Arabidopsis thaliana: one gene and its partners. The protein of the gene in region 3 binds, or shares a complex with, the protein of the main gene of each other region. Each region holds a gene or a part of one and is shown on either strand. Other genes may lie near its edges.

Region 1 (4,491 bases), on a different chromosome or scaffold from region 3:
TTGAATCTGACCCGAACGCAACAGTTTCTATATCCCCTGATGTCTTGAATCCTCTCAGAGGTTATGTGTCTCTGCCACAAGTCACTTTCGGCCGTAGAAGGTTCAAATTAGGGTTTTATACTCTGTTTCACTTGATGAGTATTTCAAAATTTTGGATTTGTTGTTAATTTGTGTCGATTTTTATTGCAGATGGGATTTACCGGAATCTGAGAATTCGGTTTTGGCGTCAACAGCTAATGAATTGAGGAGAGACAGATACGGCACTCCTGTAAATCCTGAGAAATTGAAAGCTGCTGGTGAAGGGCTTCAACATAGTATGATCACTTCTCTTCTTTTGTTTATCTGCAAATCAAATCTTTTTGAACGTGGATAATTGGATTTATGGATACAGTTACCTACAGAGGAACATGACTAGATTTGGGTTGTTTGCTAGAGATAGAAGGATTGCTATCTTTACGTGTTCTGTTTTCACTTCCTTGCTTTTGTTAATGTTGATCATGTAAATTGCTTGCCCAAACTTGTCTATTTTACCTTGTTAGGGACTGCAATGGCAGTAATTCTGAAAGGTTTCAGCTTACTAGAGAAAACTTTGGTTTGTTTGGTTATGAAAGCCAAGATTTTCCGTGGCTGAGGGTTCATGAGTGTCTAATGTAACAACTGCTTTCTGGTTGTCTCTTTTTGACTCTGATGACAAATAATCTAAGTATCTCTCTCACAGCCTAGAAATTGTTGATAATATTGCTTAGATTGAGATTCTGTTATTGTCTTTTGTCTTTTAATGTTAATTGATGTCGTGAAGTGTTCGGAAAGTTTGCCTAATCTCGAGCCCTCTGATTTTTCTGGTTTCTGCAGTTGGAAAAGCATTTGCAGCCGCTACTATTATCATCTTTGGTTCAGCCACTTTGGTTTTTGGAACGGCAGCCTCGAAACTTGACATGCGTAATGTAAGATTGCATATGTTTCCATTTTCTTACTTAAATCATTTAGATTAGCATTTCTAAGCATTATTGACTGATCTTGAATGCCATCATCGCCTTACTTGGTTTTATTGTATGATTTTCGTTCTGTTAGGCTGATGACATAAGAACGAAAGGCAAAGATCTTTTTCAGCCAAAACTGGAGTCGATGAAGGAACAAGTAGAGCCCTTAAGAACTTGGGTAATGTTTTACAAAGATACTTGCATCTTCTCAACTGAAGTGGATCATAATCATTAATAGACTAACCCGAAAAGACCATAAATTTCAGGCTGAAAACATGTCGAAGAAGTGGCATATTGAGAATGAAGGTGGTAATACTATCAAGGAGAAACCAATCTTGAAGGAGCTTTCGAAAATTCTGGGACCTAAATCTTAAAAGGCCAAGACCTTTGGTTAATGTGTAACCATGTGGATAGAGAAAGTCAAAGAAGAAGTTCTATATGTTTGTAAGATTCAATAAGATCTTAGGTAAATTATCATATTGTGCTGTAAGAACTAAGAAGTTTCAATGTTGCTGTATAAAGGTTGTATCGAGTGATTTAAGTTTTGTATAATAAAGTTTTTATGAGTTTCAATATCAATGTTTCCTATTGTGTAAGCAAAATAAAATGTTTCACTTCTGATTGGACATGGATTGGTGGGTTAAATATACAGAATAGGAAGTTACAGTCAAAATTGTGAACGTTATAATAAGTAAGGGTTGTTTATGTAAATTTTGGCTTCAGTAGAGTTCTCTTCTTCTTTTTGTAATTAGGTCTCTTAGACGGTGAGGTTAACGATGAGTAATCAAAGAAAGAGATCAAACGATGAAAGAGAAGAAGAGGACGACGAAGATGCGGAAGGTATCGGCGAGTGGGAGAGAGCTTATGTTGACGACCGATCCTGGGAGGAGTTGCAAGAGGATGAGTCTGGACTTTTACGGCCAATTGATAACAGTGCCATTTACCATGCTCAGTATCGCCGCCGTCTTCGTATGCTCTCCGCCGCTGCTGCTGGTACTCGTATCCAAAAGGGACTTATTCGATATCTCTACATCGTCATTGACTTCTCTCGGGTAAATATTTTTCTTTGCAATCCGCCGCTGCTGCTGCTGATTTTGTGATTTTTAGCTTCAATGCCGTTTCCTTTGAGTTTGATGGCGTGAAATTGAGCTTATGTTGCTTTCATCAGAGCTTATATAAAAGAGAAACTATGCACTTTGGGTCACTGATAAGTAACTTTAATGTAATCGTCGTTCTAGTTTTGGAGATCTCTGCTCTTTAGTCTTCTCAATAGGTTCTATAATTGGCTCTGTATTGTTTGCAATGATAATCTTACTCTAAGTGGGTTTGTAGAGCTTAAGGATGTGATCCTTATTCAGATTCTTTATTGAAGGCAACATTATGATTTGGGTTCAAATTTCTCTAGTTCCAAGGTATGCAAAGTCTTACACTTTGGACTGTTTTGTCGTGTCTAGGCAGCTGCGGAAATGGATTTCAGACCAAGCCGGATGGCTATAATGGCCAAACATGTCGAAGCTTTCATTAGAGAGTTCTTTGACCAGAATCCTCTGAGTCAAATTGGGTTGGTCTCTATAAAAAATGGAGTTGCGCATACATTAACAGATCTTGGTGGTAGTCCTGAGACTCACATCAAAGCGTTGATGGGGAAGTTGGAAGCTTTGGGTGACTCCTCTTTGCAGAACGCTCTGGAACTTGTACATGAGCATCTCAACCAGGTTCCATCTTATGGTCACCGCGAGGTTCTGATATTGTACTCAGCTTTATGCACATGTGATCCAGGCGATATCATGGAGACCATTCAAAAATGCAAGAAATCCAAATTAAGATGTTCTGTAATTGGGCTCTCTGCAGAAATGTTCATATGTAAACACCTCTGCCAGGAAACTGGCGGATTGTATTCAGTTGCAGTGGACGAGGTGAGTTTAGCTACCTTCTACTTACACTTGGACCTTTGAAAAACTTGTTTTGTATGGTATAACATTGTGCTTTGTGTGTATTTGTCTTTTCACGCAGGTGCATCTAAAGGATCTTCTGCTTGAACATGCGCCTCCACCTCCGGCAATAGCAGAATTTGCAATTGCAAATTTGATCAAGATGGGTTTCCCACAAAGAGCTGCTGAGGGTTCAATGGCGATTTGTTCGTGTCATAAGGAAGTTAAGATTGGAGCTGGTTACATGTGCCCAAGATGCAAAGCTCGGGTATGTGACCTCCCTACGGAATGCACTATCTGCGGTCTAACACTTGTTTCTTCGCCGCATTTGGCGAGATCATACCATCATCTCTTCCCGATTGCTCCATTTGATGAGGTGCCTGCACTTTCAAGTCTGAATGATAATCGGAGAAAATTGGGAAAGAGTTGTTTTGGTTGCCAACAGAGCCTAATTGGTGCAGGTAACTACTTGAACACCATTTTATAGAGTCTTAATACTGTTGGTTGAATAACCATTTGGTCACTAGACCAGTAGTTGAACTTAAGATACGGTTCACCCTTGTCATAGTATATACAAAGTAACCGATCCATTCACTCAAATATAAAGGCTCATTGGTGCTTTTGTTTTTTGCTTAGGGAATAAACCCGTCCCATGCGTAACATGTCGTAAATGCAAGCACTATTTCTGTCTGGACTGTGACATATACATCCACGAGAGCTTACACAACTGTCCTGGCTGTGAGAGCATTCACCGTCCCAAATCAGTTTCTTTGATGGAAGAATGAGAGAATGAATGTGTTCACACTTCCAATTATAAATCACAATTGAGATGATGAGAGGAAGCAATTTTTTTTGTGATATAGGATGTTGTAATTGGTCTTATGTCCTTAACCAAAATCTTTCTTCTTTTGTGGACTCTATTGCTCTCTCACAATTGATCCAAAACAAACCGACTCAAATTTTCAGAGATAGCATTCTTAATTGTTTGATTTTCTATTTAACTTGGGCTTGAAATTTCTTCACTCATGAGAAAACGAACAGTAGTAATAAAGAATTATTTCGGTGGTAAACAAAAGGAGACCGTATCATCAGTTGTTTGTTGATACTGTCATGACAAGGTCGCAACTACTTCCCTAAATATCTCTCTGTTTGTTAGAAGCTTTTATATTAGATCTAAGTGAAACAATTCTTAGTGATTGTCATAAGTAAACAACGTACTTAATCTTTGAGAAAAGTCCCTAACACCACCATGAAGGAAGAAGATACTAACGTCACTAGGTTCTGCAAGGCAACGTCTGCGTGTAAAGATGCAGCATTCTACTACCTTGAAGGATTCGACTGGAATCTCGAAGACGCCATCTCTGGTTTCCTCGGTGATCAACTTCCTCCGCTCAAAATAAGAGCGACTCCACGGAGGGTGAATGAATGGCGAGAGCGATCTCGATCTCCTTTAAGAAGAAGATACTCTACTACCTCTGTCTCGGAATTTACGCTGAAGATGCGCCAAGATGAGATAACCATAACGAAAAGCTCTGATACGGGTGCTTTGGCCACCAGGTGGGTGATTTAATAATATTAAG
Region 2 (4,958 bases), on a different chromosome or scaffold from region 3:
GACATCGGAAGCTGAGATTCCGTTGTTGATGACGGGGGCGGTGGATGAGGCAAAGGAGAACCAGGGGAGGTGAACAGAGAGCGGTGGGACAGGGAGACGGAGGTTGATTTGACGGCGTTTACGAACAAGAGCCATGGAAATAGAAGAGAGAGAGAGAGAGTGATGATGGTGATCGAAGAGTGATGGAAGTTGCAGTTTTTATATGGAGACTTGAGTGGGATTTAAGTGAGGAGCCTGGGAAGCTAATAAATCTTTCCATTAAATGTTAATCACTCTTTTTTGTTCTTTATCTTAATTATTATTTGTTGAGTTGTATCTAAAAATGGCAACTAGTGTGTCTACCGTTTATGTTTATCTTGCACGAGGTTAAATGCATGGGACTGCTATCTGTCCTACTTACCCGGAACCTGGCTATAGTGGCTTGTGTATATTGAGATAAATCTACGCAATAATGATTAGATTTATATACATTTAAAGAGTTTGTTTTAGTGATTTTGAATGGTAACTCAATTATCAAAGTTTGTTACAGCCTGTATCGTGATAATTACAAATTACAAAGGCGTTATAAAAGCGTTACTTTTAACGTTTTGCATTAATGATTAGATTTATATGCATTTAAAGAGTTTGTTTTAGTGATTTTGAATGGTAACTCAATTATCAAAGTTTGGTACAGCATGTACCGTGATATTACAAATTACAAAAGCGTTATAAAAACGTTATTTTTAACTTTTTGTACTACTTATTTATATAGTTTTGCATTCTAATTTACAGCTAAAACAACTTTAAAGCTTTGTGTTACCTATCAGAATCGTTATCTTCACATTCAAACACATAATCCATTGTTGTTGAAAAATAATAATACTTTCAAAACATTTATTTTAGTGATATTAATTTGACTTGATAGTAAGATTATTATTTACTCATAAAGACATTGGTGGAATTTAGTTATATAATTTTCATATACTAAACTATAGGAGATTTTAAAGTTTAATGTGAATTTGTGAGGTTCAATGTACCTCGGAGGCTAAGGACTTCTAATGAAAATGACCAAACAATAAGTTATATTTAGGCCATCATGCAAAAGCTTTCCAATGGCCATCGCCATTAATATTGCCAAGTTAATTATTAATATGATTTTAGTAAAAACTATGATTAGATCTTCAGATTCTTAGTGGACAGTCACACATGACCCTACGGATTACAAGTATTTAGCATGTCGATTGTCATGCGCGTATATATCCAAAGAATACTGAATAAAAATAATATGAAGTCAATCAAATGAATAACAATCAAATTATATGAAGTCAATCAAACCTTTATGAATGTGATTTGCTTCTTTTTCCAACCAAAAAACTTGTTTGTTTATTTGTTAGTTGTTACTCCCAAAAAAATGTAGTAAGCTTTTTATGCCCCATGTATTATATATCAAGACGATCTCCAAACATGACTATAGTTTCATAGGATGGATTGGATATCAGGACATGTGTGAATTTACTAATTTTTAGTATTGAAACAAACAACATTTCAACCAAAATTTTTTACCATTAAAATTAATATATCGACGTCCGATAGTATAAAGCTTGAATAAACTGAATTTCGTATCAGTAGCCAGTTTGAAAAATAAATTTGTTCCTTGAGATTTTGGTGTTCTTTTCCAAAAGAAAGAACAAAGAAAACAAAAGGCCCTTGTAAAAGGCGGTTTAGTTCATAAAGAAAACTGGGCCTATCTAAAAATTTGAACTAATGCCATATTTGGGCTTAGTAAGCCCGGCTTACGATACGACGTTTATAGTCGGATCTGATTCGGATCCAAACCCGTTTGATGGATCCGGCTCCTACCAAATCACTTCAGATTTCTGTATAAGCTAAAAATCCTTGAATTTTTCAGTAAGTTACTATAGCATCCGAGAATTTCATTCTTTAACTCTGGTTCGTAATCGGAAAACTCAAAGACCTGTTGTGAAGATATATTGGAGAAGAAAAAAAAAACGATTTCCCGGCACTGAAATAGCATTATCAGATCTCGTTCCCACCGGGAAGATTTCCCGGCACACTGAAATTCTGACTTGGAATCGTCTGTGAAACTATGCCTGCCATTGCTTCTAAGCAGTATTCAGGTTATTATTAAATTCCTCTTACTTCGAAACCCTCACATTCCTCAATCGTATAAGTATGTAGATTAGATATCCCAAAAACTGGAAACAAGTCTGATTGGCTCGTGATTGTTTTTTTGGTCGCAGACGATGTTAGTCTTCTAGTTTTGTTGCTTGATACGAATCCTCTTTTCTGGAGCACTACATCGATTACCTTCTCTCAGTTCCTTTCTCATGTAAGTGTCTCTAACGAATCTATTGTTTGTTTGTTCAATGCTTCGATTTTTATGCAGAAAGCTTGCTGCTGTTATGTGTAGGTGCTTGCGTTTCTTAATGCGGTTTTGGGGTTAAATCAGTTGAACCAAGTTGTAGTTATAGCTACTGGATACAGTTCTTGTGATTACATTTATGATTCGTCTTTGACATCAAATCATGGAAATTTCGAGAGCAATGGAACTGGAATGCCTGCAATTTTTGGTTCTTTGCTTAAGAAATTGGAAGAGTTTGTTACCAAAGATGAGGAGCTCAGCAAGGAGGAAGTGTCTGAGGATAGAATACCTTCTTGTCTCTTGTCAGGATCACTCTCCATGGCTCTTTGCTGTATCCTCTTGGAAAAGCATATAGCATCATGATAGGTTTCTTGAAGCTATATATAGTACAAACTATTAGGATTTGTTTGCATAAGTTCTGGCAGTGATCTTGAAGCTTAGCTTTCTCTCTAGACTGGGTTAAGTAAGGAACATTTTAGGTTGACATGTTTGTTCTCAGCTAAACCTATAGCATGTCTAAGGCCATCAATGTTATCTGGTAATATATGTATTTGATTTTCAGTCTTCACATTTTGTTGTTGACTTAATTTATGGCTCTAGATATACAGAGGGTTTTCCGTTCTGGACATCTTCATCCCCAGCCTCGGGTGAGTGTTCAGTAGGATATATGTATCAATCAGTTGTCTTGGATAAAACTTTTCATGTTGATTGCTTTGTATGAATCTTCAGCTTAAAGTATTAATGAGAATATAGACTCCTTTTTCTTATGTGTTATCTGTTCTATCGTATACCCCCAAAATACAGAACTGATTGTGCTATTGACGTTTATATGAAATACAGATTTTATGCTTGCAAGGTTCCCCAGATGGCCCGGAACAGTATGTTTCTTCCTTCATTTTTTTTCTACTTGCAAGATTTTGTCTTGTTTGTCTGGTCTCATTAAAAGGTTTTGTCATTCTTTCAGGTATGTTGCTGTTATGAACTCTATCTTCTCTGCCCAACGCTTGATGGTAATCTTCATTTTGATTGGTTCTTTGGGATTTCCGGTTCTTGATGTTCTCTAAATCCAGTATCATGTACCCAAATCACTTCATCAATTGGTTCTTTAGGTTCCCATTGATTCGTGTTACATAGGTGTACAGAACTCAGCATTTTTGCAGCAGGTAATATCATTTCTCCTTTATACATGATTCTAACTCGTCAAACTGGACCTATGCGTCAGCTGTTATCTCCTGGCTTATTTGTAGGCATCTTATATAACTGGTGGTGTACATCATACACCTAAACAGTTGGATGGGCTATTTCAATATCTAACGGTACGCAACTCAAGTCCAAACGCAAACCATTATGTGACTCGTCTCTCATTTAGCGAACTCAATACTCAATGGCTGCTAACTCTGGATTGTTTTGTTTTGCACAAAAGACAATCTTTGCAACCGATTTGCACTCCCGCGGTTTTGTACAACTTCCTAAACCCATAGGTGTAGATTTTCGCGCATCGTAAGTGATCAAGTCATTAACTCTTCAATTAATCGGGTCTTCCTCTGCATATATAACAGATGGTTTTAAGTACAAAATTTGCAGGTGCTTTTGCCACAAGAAGACAATAGATATGGGCTACATATGCTCAGTGTGTCTGTCCATTTTCTGTGAGCATCACAAGAAATGTTCAACCTGCGGGTAAGAGATTTGACCCGTCATGTTCTTTCTCAAGATAACAATCTATCATGTTGTTTGATACTAATATCGAAAAGCTTTTGGAAATTTGCAGGTCTGTATTTGGTCAGTCTAAACTTGATGATGCTTCATCTGCCTCTGATAAGAAGAGAAAAGCTCCTAGTACCTAAAATCATCTTTTGTGCCAGAGAGAAACTGCAAACTTTGTTTAATTGTGTCTTTGCGTTCATTTTCGATAATTTTTATACCATATATCAAAGTGAAATCAATTTTGCAAAGTTTTTGACTCTTTTTTTTTCCTTGAGATAGTACCCGTTGACTTGAGCAAACAAAACAAAAAGGCCTCTAATAGTCCATATAGAAAGTTGGGCTTCTCTATCGAATTTGAACGAATACGACATTTGGGCTGACGTCATTTATTATTGTCGGATCTATTTCGGGTCCAAACCCGTTTGATGGATCCGTCTCCTACCGAATCACTTCAGACGTGGAGAACGAACGAGACAGAGGGAAGAGAATCATCGGTGTGGCGAGCAATGGATTTGAAGAAACGGCGAAAGGTAAAAAAAATCTCGGAAGTAATGTGTATGTTTCATAGCACTCGAAATTTCGATCTTTGATTTTGTTCGAAATCGATAATTGAGAATTGTCGTGCAGATTTTGGAGAAGAAAAAGACGATTCATGACCTTATAAAAAGAGCTTCTTCCATTGACGATCCTCTTTCTCCGTTTGATTCTTTCCGCCGTTACCGAAGAAACGGTAAATTTGTTCTTCTGCTCAATTTTATTTTCGCCAGTTTCTCAAAAATATGGGATTTTGTTTATGCGAACTGATTATCATTGACAATGATTTGATGCATATAAACTTACTTTTACAATTCCTAATGTTACTACATTATGAAGTAGATGTAGTGTTAGT
Region 3 (6,243 bases):
AATACTACTATATTGATAATTCGATATCTAATACTCTCCTTAACTAATCTAGACTACAAAAATCAAAGAATAAATTGCGTATAATAAGAATCGACTTTTGAATCTACTGGGTTTATGCCAACCCTAATGCTATATTGGCAGATGTATGATGTAAACATTTAATTTAATACCAAGTTAAACTATATAAAAAAATTGAGTTAGCTTTAAGCTTTTTGCCAAGTGGAAAGTAAAAAATAGTGACGATGCTCGATCAATTGTATAATTGTAATAAGCACTCTAGCTGCAGCTATAAATACCCTACTAAGTCTCTCATCTATCTTCACTATCTTTTGTGATAAGAAATTCTATTATCAATTCCTATCATTTGTTAAGAAAAAGAGTTAGAAGTATTAATAATCTTACAATATTTATAGATAAGATAACAACAATATGAAGCATTCTCACGTTTTGCTTCTTCTATTTGTTCAAGTCATTGTCCTTTTGCCTCTCCTTTGTCTATCCGACGATTTTGTTAACTCTAGAGCTACTTATTATGGCAGCCCCGATTGCAAAGCAAATCCTCGTACGTATTAAAATTGTTATTGCTATATACATCGTGTACCTTAATTCTTTTTCATTTTCTTAGTTGTTGTATAGACTTGTACACGTTATATATTGGTAAAAGATACATTGGTGTAATATCTCACTATAAGCCATAACTAATTATTTTTGTTTTATATCTACGTATAGGTTTCTTGTTTTGTTTTATTTTGAAGGTTTATTCAAATTCTAAATACATATATGATTGAAAACGAGTCCACTAAGTGTCCATTAACTGCGTAATTAGTAATGATAACTTTCCATTATGAGAATATACATAATATTTGTCGAAAGAATAAGAATAATTAATTAATTTTTTGATGATGCAGGGGGACATTGTGGGTATGGAGAATTTGGAAGAGATATCAATAACGGTGAAGTGAGTGGTGTTTCATGGCGACTATGGAACAATGGAACTGGCTGTGGTGCTTGTTACCAGGTTATTATATATAGTTATCTACTTATCTCAATCAATATTTCATCAAATATTATTATAGTATATGCTATGTCATTAATTACTAAACTTATATTATGAAAGAAAAAAAAACTTATTTTATGAATTATAAAAAGGTGAGGTGCAAGATACCACCACACTGCAGTGAGGAAGGAGTATACGTAGTGGCTACGGACTCCGGAGAAGGAGATGGCACGGACTTCATCTTAAGCCCTAAGGCGTACGGACGTATGGCGCGACCCGGCACAGAAAATCAGCTCTACTCCTTCGGTGTAGTCAACGTTGAGTACCAAAGGATCCCTTGCCGATACGCAGGGTATAATCTGGTGTATAAGATCCATGAGAAAAGCTACAATCCTCATTATCTTGCCATCCTTGTCTTGTACGTTGGTGGTGTTAATGACATCCTCGCCGTTGAAGTCTGGCAGGTAAATTTAATCAAAGATGTTGAGAAACTTAGATATATGTTTTTGAGGATCAAAATATATAGTTTACTCTTAGATGATTTTGTGAAACAAAGTTAAACGTTATTATATGGTATGCATGTATATGTATGATTTTAGGAGGATTGCAAAGAGTGGAGACGTATGAGAAGAGTGTTTGGAGCGGTTCATGATTTGCAGAATCCACCTAGAGGCACTCTCACATTGAGGTTCTTAGTCTACGGAAGCGCAGGAATCAATTGGATCCAATCGCCAAACGCTATTCCCGCTGATTGGACTGCCGGAGCCACCTACGACTCCAACATTCTACTTACTTAATTGATTCACTTTTCATCAGTGTGTTTTTATCATATAGTATTTATTATGGTTTCTGTATGCAATGGCTAATATATTTAAATAATGCCCTCTAGGACAATATAATTAATGATGATAATATAAATAATCGTAGTAGATTCATATATAATTTATGTATTGTGTCTCACTAAGAAGATTGTAATGGTTTGTATGAGTTTGATTTTGATGGAATAAATCAGTACTAATCAATTTATCAGATGATGATCAAACGTTTCGTAAGCTTTTTTTGTTTACATTTTGGTCAGTCAAGCATATATCTCTCCCTAATCAACCATTTTCATGAAAACAAATTGGCGCGATTTTTGTTATATAGATAGGCCCATTAGTAGTATTCACAAGGCCCATTAAAACTTAATTTATCTTGGCCATCCTCTTCGATCGATTTCGTCAGTTTTCTTTGATTCTGGGTAGTAAATAATCGGGATCAATTGTAGAAGAGCTCATCGAGAAAAGAGAGAACCTAAACTTTAAATTCAATTCTGTATTGTTCTCAAACTCGAACCCGAAACTTTAAATCCTTCCTTATTTGTTTTCTGGAGTTCTTGTTTAGAACTGTTTTGGATTTGTTTTTTTTGAGGAGATGCTTTAGTTAACTAGGTTTGCTTCGAGCTGATCGCTGTGTGGCATAAACCCTAATTTCGTGGAAACTGTGCTCTTTTAGAACCGGTCCAGTGAGTAAGGGAATCCAATTGGTGAAGATGCCGCAAGTTAAGATCATTGCTAAAAATTTCATGGACATGGTGGCGTCACTTCCAGCCATCAAGCTTGACAAACTCTACAACAATGTCTTTATCTGCGAAGCCATTCTCAGGTTAATTTATGTGTCTATGTTGTTGAATTTTGAAAAAATTGAGGATCTTACATTCTTAAGATGGTGTCAGGTCTTTGCCGCCTCTTGCCAAGAAGTATGTATTGCAGATGTTGTACATTGATGTTCCTGTACCTGCTACGATGATGGAGGAGTGGGTGCTCGCAGATGGCACCTCTAAACATAGAGTTGCTATTGATCGACTGATTCAATTAAGGATTTTTTCAGAAATTAGTGATAGGTATGCATTCTTGCTTTATTCTTGATACTGTCATGATTTGACTTATTTCAGTTAGTTCAATACTTCTGTCTATTCACGTTGGAGGGTTTATTTGATATATTTATTTAAAAGAGTGATGGTGGATGTTAACTTGAGCATTGAACCCTATGAGCTTCATCTTATACTTCAATTTACTGTGTTTGGATTGATTATGATTGTATGTGGCAAGATGATAGTTCAGATTTAGTTCTTAAGCTGCTCTTCGTACTTTTGCAGGAAAAGGGGAACCAGCTACAGCCTAAATCCTACATTTCAGAACAATCTTCAGAAACATATTATTTCCGGGTAAAGACATCTTTACATTGACGGTACTCTCCTTTTTCGTTTTTTCTCTAGGCTTTTGGAGAAGATGCTGATGAGCTAAATTTGAATTTTGCAGTGGAGTTTTGCCTAGAGAGCCTATGAACTCCGACAATGCCATTAAACTTCCAAGCCTACAAGAACTCGAAACCTATGCACTTAAGCAATGGGAGGTGTGTGTATTTCCTAATTTCTTATTGATAATACTAGTAAGGTGGAAGTAATTTGTAAAACAAATATCTTTTAATATGAACTTGGTTAGTATCTGATGATGTGTACTTATGTTTGTCAGTGTTTCTTGCTACAACTTATAAATTCGGGTCAAGGTGAAAAACTAACTGGCATCAGTTCATCCATGATGAAAATTTTTCAGCGAGGTTTATTGAGTCAGAGGTAATGTTTTCATACACGTCTATAGATGCATAGTGGTGGCATATAGCCTCCCTATTTGATACACTTCATGTAATATTGCAGAGACAAAGATGGCCCGAGATTAACTGAGAGTGGCTTTCAGTTTTTGGTATGCAAATCGTGAGTCAGTGGTCTATAATTACCTGTATTCATGTAAGTAACCTGATTGACCTCAATTTTCAGCTGATGGATACAAATGCCCAGCTTTGGTACATTATTCGAGAATACATATTGAATGCCGAGGTTTGTATTATTCCTAAGGTTTTGTGAAATTGATATCTCTATTTCGCCGAATGGATAACCCAATGCCAGTGTTTCTCAGGAGCGAGATGTAGATCCAGCAGACTTGATTTCGTTTTTGTTGGAGCTTAGTTTTCATGTTACTGGTCAGGTATAACAGAACTTCACAAAAAAGTCATTTCAAGCGTTCTTGTTCTTGTTTTTACTCTTACTTGATTTAGCGGGATGCTTGTTAATTATTTCGGTGAGCTTACACATTGCAGGCATATAACTTAAATACCTTGACAGAGGTTCAAAACAATACCCTCAAGGACCTTGCAGACTTGGGATTAGTCAAGCTTCAACAGGTTAGACTTAGACCATTTGTAATATTTTTTTTATTACCAAATATCAAAAGAAAAAAAACTTTGCTAAAGTTATGATTATAGAACTATATCACATGCTGAGCCAGTCTTTATGATTATTGAAGGGAAGGAAAGACAGTTGGTTTATTCCTACTAAACTGGCTACAAATTTATCAGTCAGTCTGGCAGATTCATCAGCGCGAAAAGAGGTCACACCTTTTTTATTCCCCTCTTGTCCCATATCTACCTGCTACCAACAATTTTCTTGATTTTGTGTATCGCTGTTGTTTGTTGTTCCTCATCAGGGATTTGTCGTGATGGAAACAAACTTCAGAATGTATGCGTACTCCACATCTAAGTTACAGTGTGAAATTTTACGACTATTTGCGAGGTAGAAGCTCCTGAACATCGACCTGAAACTTTACTCTTCTGTGTCTTAAAATCCTTTAGGTCTAAGTAGTTGGTGCTTCATTATTTCCAGGATAGAGTACCAACTTCCAAACCTTATTGCTTGTGCCATTACAAAGGAAAGTTTGTACAATGCATTTGACAATGGCATCACATCAGATCAGGTACAGTTGGTTTCAGTTGAAAAACATTTTGAAGTTATCGAATACATGATTTTGCCCGGATCCTCACTGTCCTTGAAATGTTGATCAAATTGTTGATGCGTCTCTTTATAGTTTCTGAATAAATATTTTTTCCTTTTCTTTTGATTGTCACAGATTATAACTTTCCTCCAGCAGAATTCTCATCCACGATGTGCTGATCGAGTCCCATCTATTCCAGAAAATGTCACTGATCAGGTTTATACTCTCTATGCCCATCAAGTGTCGATTATACAAAAATGTGTATAGGATTGGTTTATAGAATTGAAAGTGTATACTATCTCTACGTCCTGATTCATCAGGCTTATGTTGAATAAAAATGCATTGTTCTGGCAGATTCGGCTTTGGGAGACAGATCTGCAGAGAATTGAGATGACCCAGGCTCACTTCTATGATGAATTTCCTTCAAAAGTAACAAACCTGAACCCTCTTATTATTTTCTCTTCTCCATAACGCAAAACCGTTATAGTAAATCTCATTAACCAAAATCATGTTAGCAGGATGTGTTTGAGGCAGCTTGTGACTTTGCTCGGGAATGGAGAGGCCTTCTTTGGGAAGACTCTAAGAGAATGCGACTTGTTGTGAAATCCGAAGTTCACAATCAGATGCGTGAGTTTCTTCATACCCAAAGCAGGTAACAAGAAGAAACTCACATTTTCTTCTCGTATTAAAACAAAACATCATGCTTCGATTCTACAAACTATGTCTTTCGTGAGGTTTCAGCAGAAAGAGAAAAAAGAGTAGCCATTTGATGTCTTGTTACTCTATTAGTTACCATCGTTTTTATCCTGCTAACACATGCGCACCCCAAACGTAGGAAAAGTACTTGGTGTTGGTACCCACGAAGTTGAAAGTTGAAACCTTTAAGCTGTAAGACCGATCCATTGTAAATCACAATATACTTTATTAGGCGAAGTTAAGTTTGAAACAACATATATTGACAAAACGTGGTCGTTGGGGATGGTCCAACCAGGGTCACCTCTATAATTTCTTGTACGCTAGACAGAACACAATCTCGGTTTTGATTCTATTCAGTTGACCAAATTTCAAAATTATTAAAACCTCAGCAAATGCGAGGCTACAATCTCAGTTTAATCAACTAAGAGGATGTATTCAGAGACGCTGAATCTATTCTGTGTCAACATGAAGACAAGATCTGACTTCATTTTGCTTGAGATTTTTCGTTGGCTGAGGACTCTGAATCCTGGATCTTATCTCCCATGTTTGCATCTGTAGTCACATTTGCATTTCCACGTGCCCGAGCGAGTTTCTCAGCTTCTTCAATCTTTCGTATAGCTTCCTGTTGTGTTGCGTTCATCATTGTCCCCATCGTTTTCTTCTCTCCTTCGAGCTGAATTTCCATTATGGTACTAGCATGCTTGTCTATCGGTTTGAAGTAGTCTTCAATTTGAGCCTCCTGTA

Evidence for each region.
Region 1: AT4G17020 (region 3) and GTF2H2 share a complex: the UniProt entries of both Arabidopsis thaliana proteins name them as parts of the 7-subunit TFIIH core complex.
Region 2: AT4G17020 (region 3) and AT1G18340 share a complex: the UniProt entries of both Arabidopsis thaliana proteins name them as parts of the 7-subunit TFIIH core complex.

Annotation. Positions count from the first base shown.
Region 1 is NC_003070.9:1,448,118-1,452,608, reverse strand, and holds GTF2H2 (general transcription factor II H2), read left to right. Parts: upstream 1-1,707; 5' UTR 1,708-1,756; coding exon 1,757-2,032; intron 2,033-2,434; coding exon 2,435-2,896; intron 2,897-2,993; coding exon 2,994-3,372; intron 3,373-3,547; coding exon 3,548-3,696; 3' UTR 3,697-3,978; downstream 3,979-4,491. Other genes in the region: AT1G05060 (coiled-coil protein), read left to right, coding at 1-100, 190-314, 853-944, 1,072-1,158, 1,247-1,354; AT1G05040 (UBA-like domain protein), read left to right, coding at 4,161-4,468. UniProt on the Arabidopsis thaliana protein: Component of the general transcription and DNA repair factor IIH (TFIIH) core complex, which is involved in general and transcription-coupled nucleotide excision repair (NER) of damaged DNA and, when complexed to CAK, in RNA transcription by RNA polymerase II.
Region 2 is NC_003070.9:6,310,863-6,315,820, reverse strand, and holds AT1G18340 (basal transcription factor complex subunit-like protein), read left to right. Parts: upstream 1-1,889; 5' UTR 1,890-2,086; coding exon 2,087-2,117; intron 2,118-2,240; coding exon 2,241-2,329; intron 2,330-2,410; coding exon 2,411-2,693; intron 2,694-2,962; coding exon 2,963-3,009; intron 3,010-3,202; coding exon 3,203-3,240; intron 3,241-3,326; coding exon 3,327-3,372; intron 3,373-3,471; coding exon 3,472-3,525; intron 3,526-3,609; coding exon 3,610-3,678; intron 3,679-3,785; coding exon 3,786-3,862; intron 3,863-3,946; coding exon 3,947-4,042; intron 4,043-4,133; coding exon 4,134-4,209; 3' UTR 4,210-4,378; downstream 4,379-4,958. Other genes in the region: MKK7 (MAP kinase kinase 7), read right to left, coding at 1-135; AT1G18335 (Acyl-CoA N-acyltransferases (NAT) superfamily protein), read left to right, coding at 4,495-4,599, 4,697-4,799. UniProt on the Arabidopsis thaliana protein: Component of the general transcription and DNA repair factor IIH (TFIIH) core complex, which is involved in general and transcription-coupled nucleotide excision repair (NER) of damaged DNA and, when complexed to CAK, in RNA transcription by RNA polymerase II.
Region 3 is NC_003075.7:9,577,368-9,583,610, reverse strand, and holds AT4G17020 (transcription factor-like protein), read left to right. Parts: upstream 1-2,171; 5' UTR 2,172-2,528; coding exon 2,529-2,641; intron 2,642-2,711; coding exon 2,712-2,879; intron 2,880-3,134; coding exon 3,135-3,203; intron 3,204-3,297; coding exon 3,298-3,391; intron 3,392-3,510; coding exon 3,511-3,611; intron 3,612-3,692; coding exon 3,693-3,738; intron 3,739-3,812; coding exon 3,813-3,872; intron 3,873-3,951; coding exon 3,952-4,020; intron 4,021-4,132; coding exon 4,133-4,216; intron 4,217-4,338; coding exon 4,339-4,422; intron 4,423-4,518; coding exon 4,519-4,604; intron 4,605-4,694; coding exon 4,695-4,785; intron 4,786-4,938; coding exon 4,939-5,019; intron 5,020-5,157; coding exon 5,158-5,232; intron 5,233-5,321; coding exon 5,322-5,455; coding exon of another isoform or gene 5,456-5,459; exon of another isoform or gene 5,460-5,544; coding exon 5,545-5,638; coding exon of another isoform or gene 5,639-5,672; 3' UTR 5,673-5,736; downstream 5,737-6,243. Other genes in the region: EXLB1 (expansin-like B1), read left to right, coding at 430-562, 909-1,018, 1,150-1,461, 1,597-1,794; AT4G17010 (transcription factor IIIB), read right to left, coding at 5,984-6,238. UniProt on the Arabidopsis thaliana protein: Component of the general transcription and DNA repair factor IIH (TFIIH) core complex, which is involved in general and transcription-coupled nucleotide excision repair (NER) of damaged DNA and, when complexed to CAK, in RNA transcription by RNA polymerase II.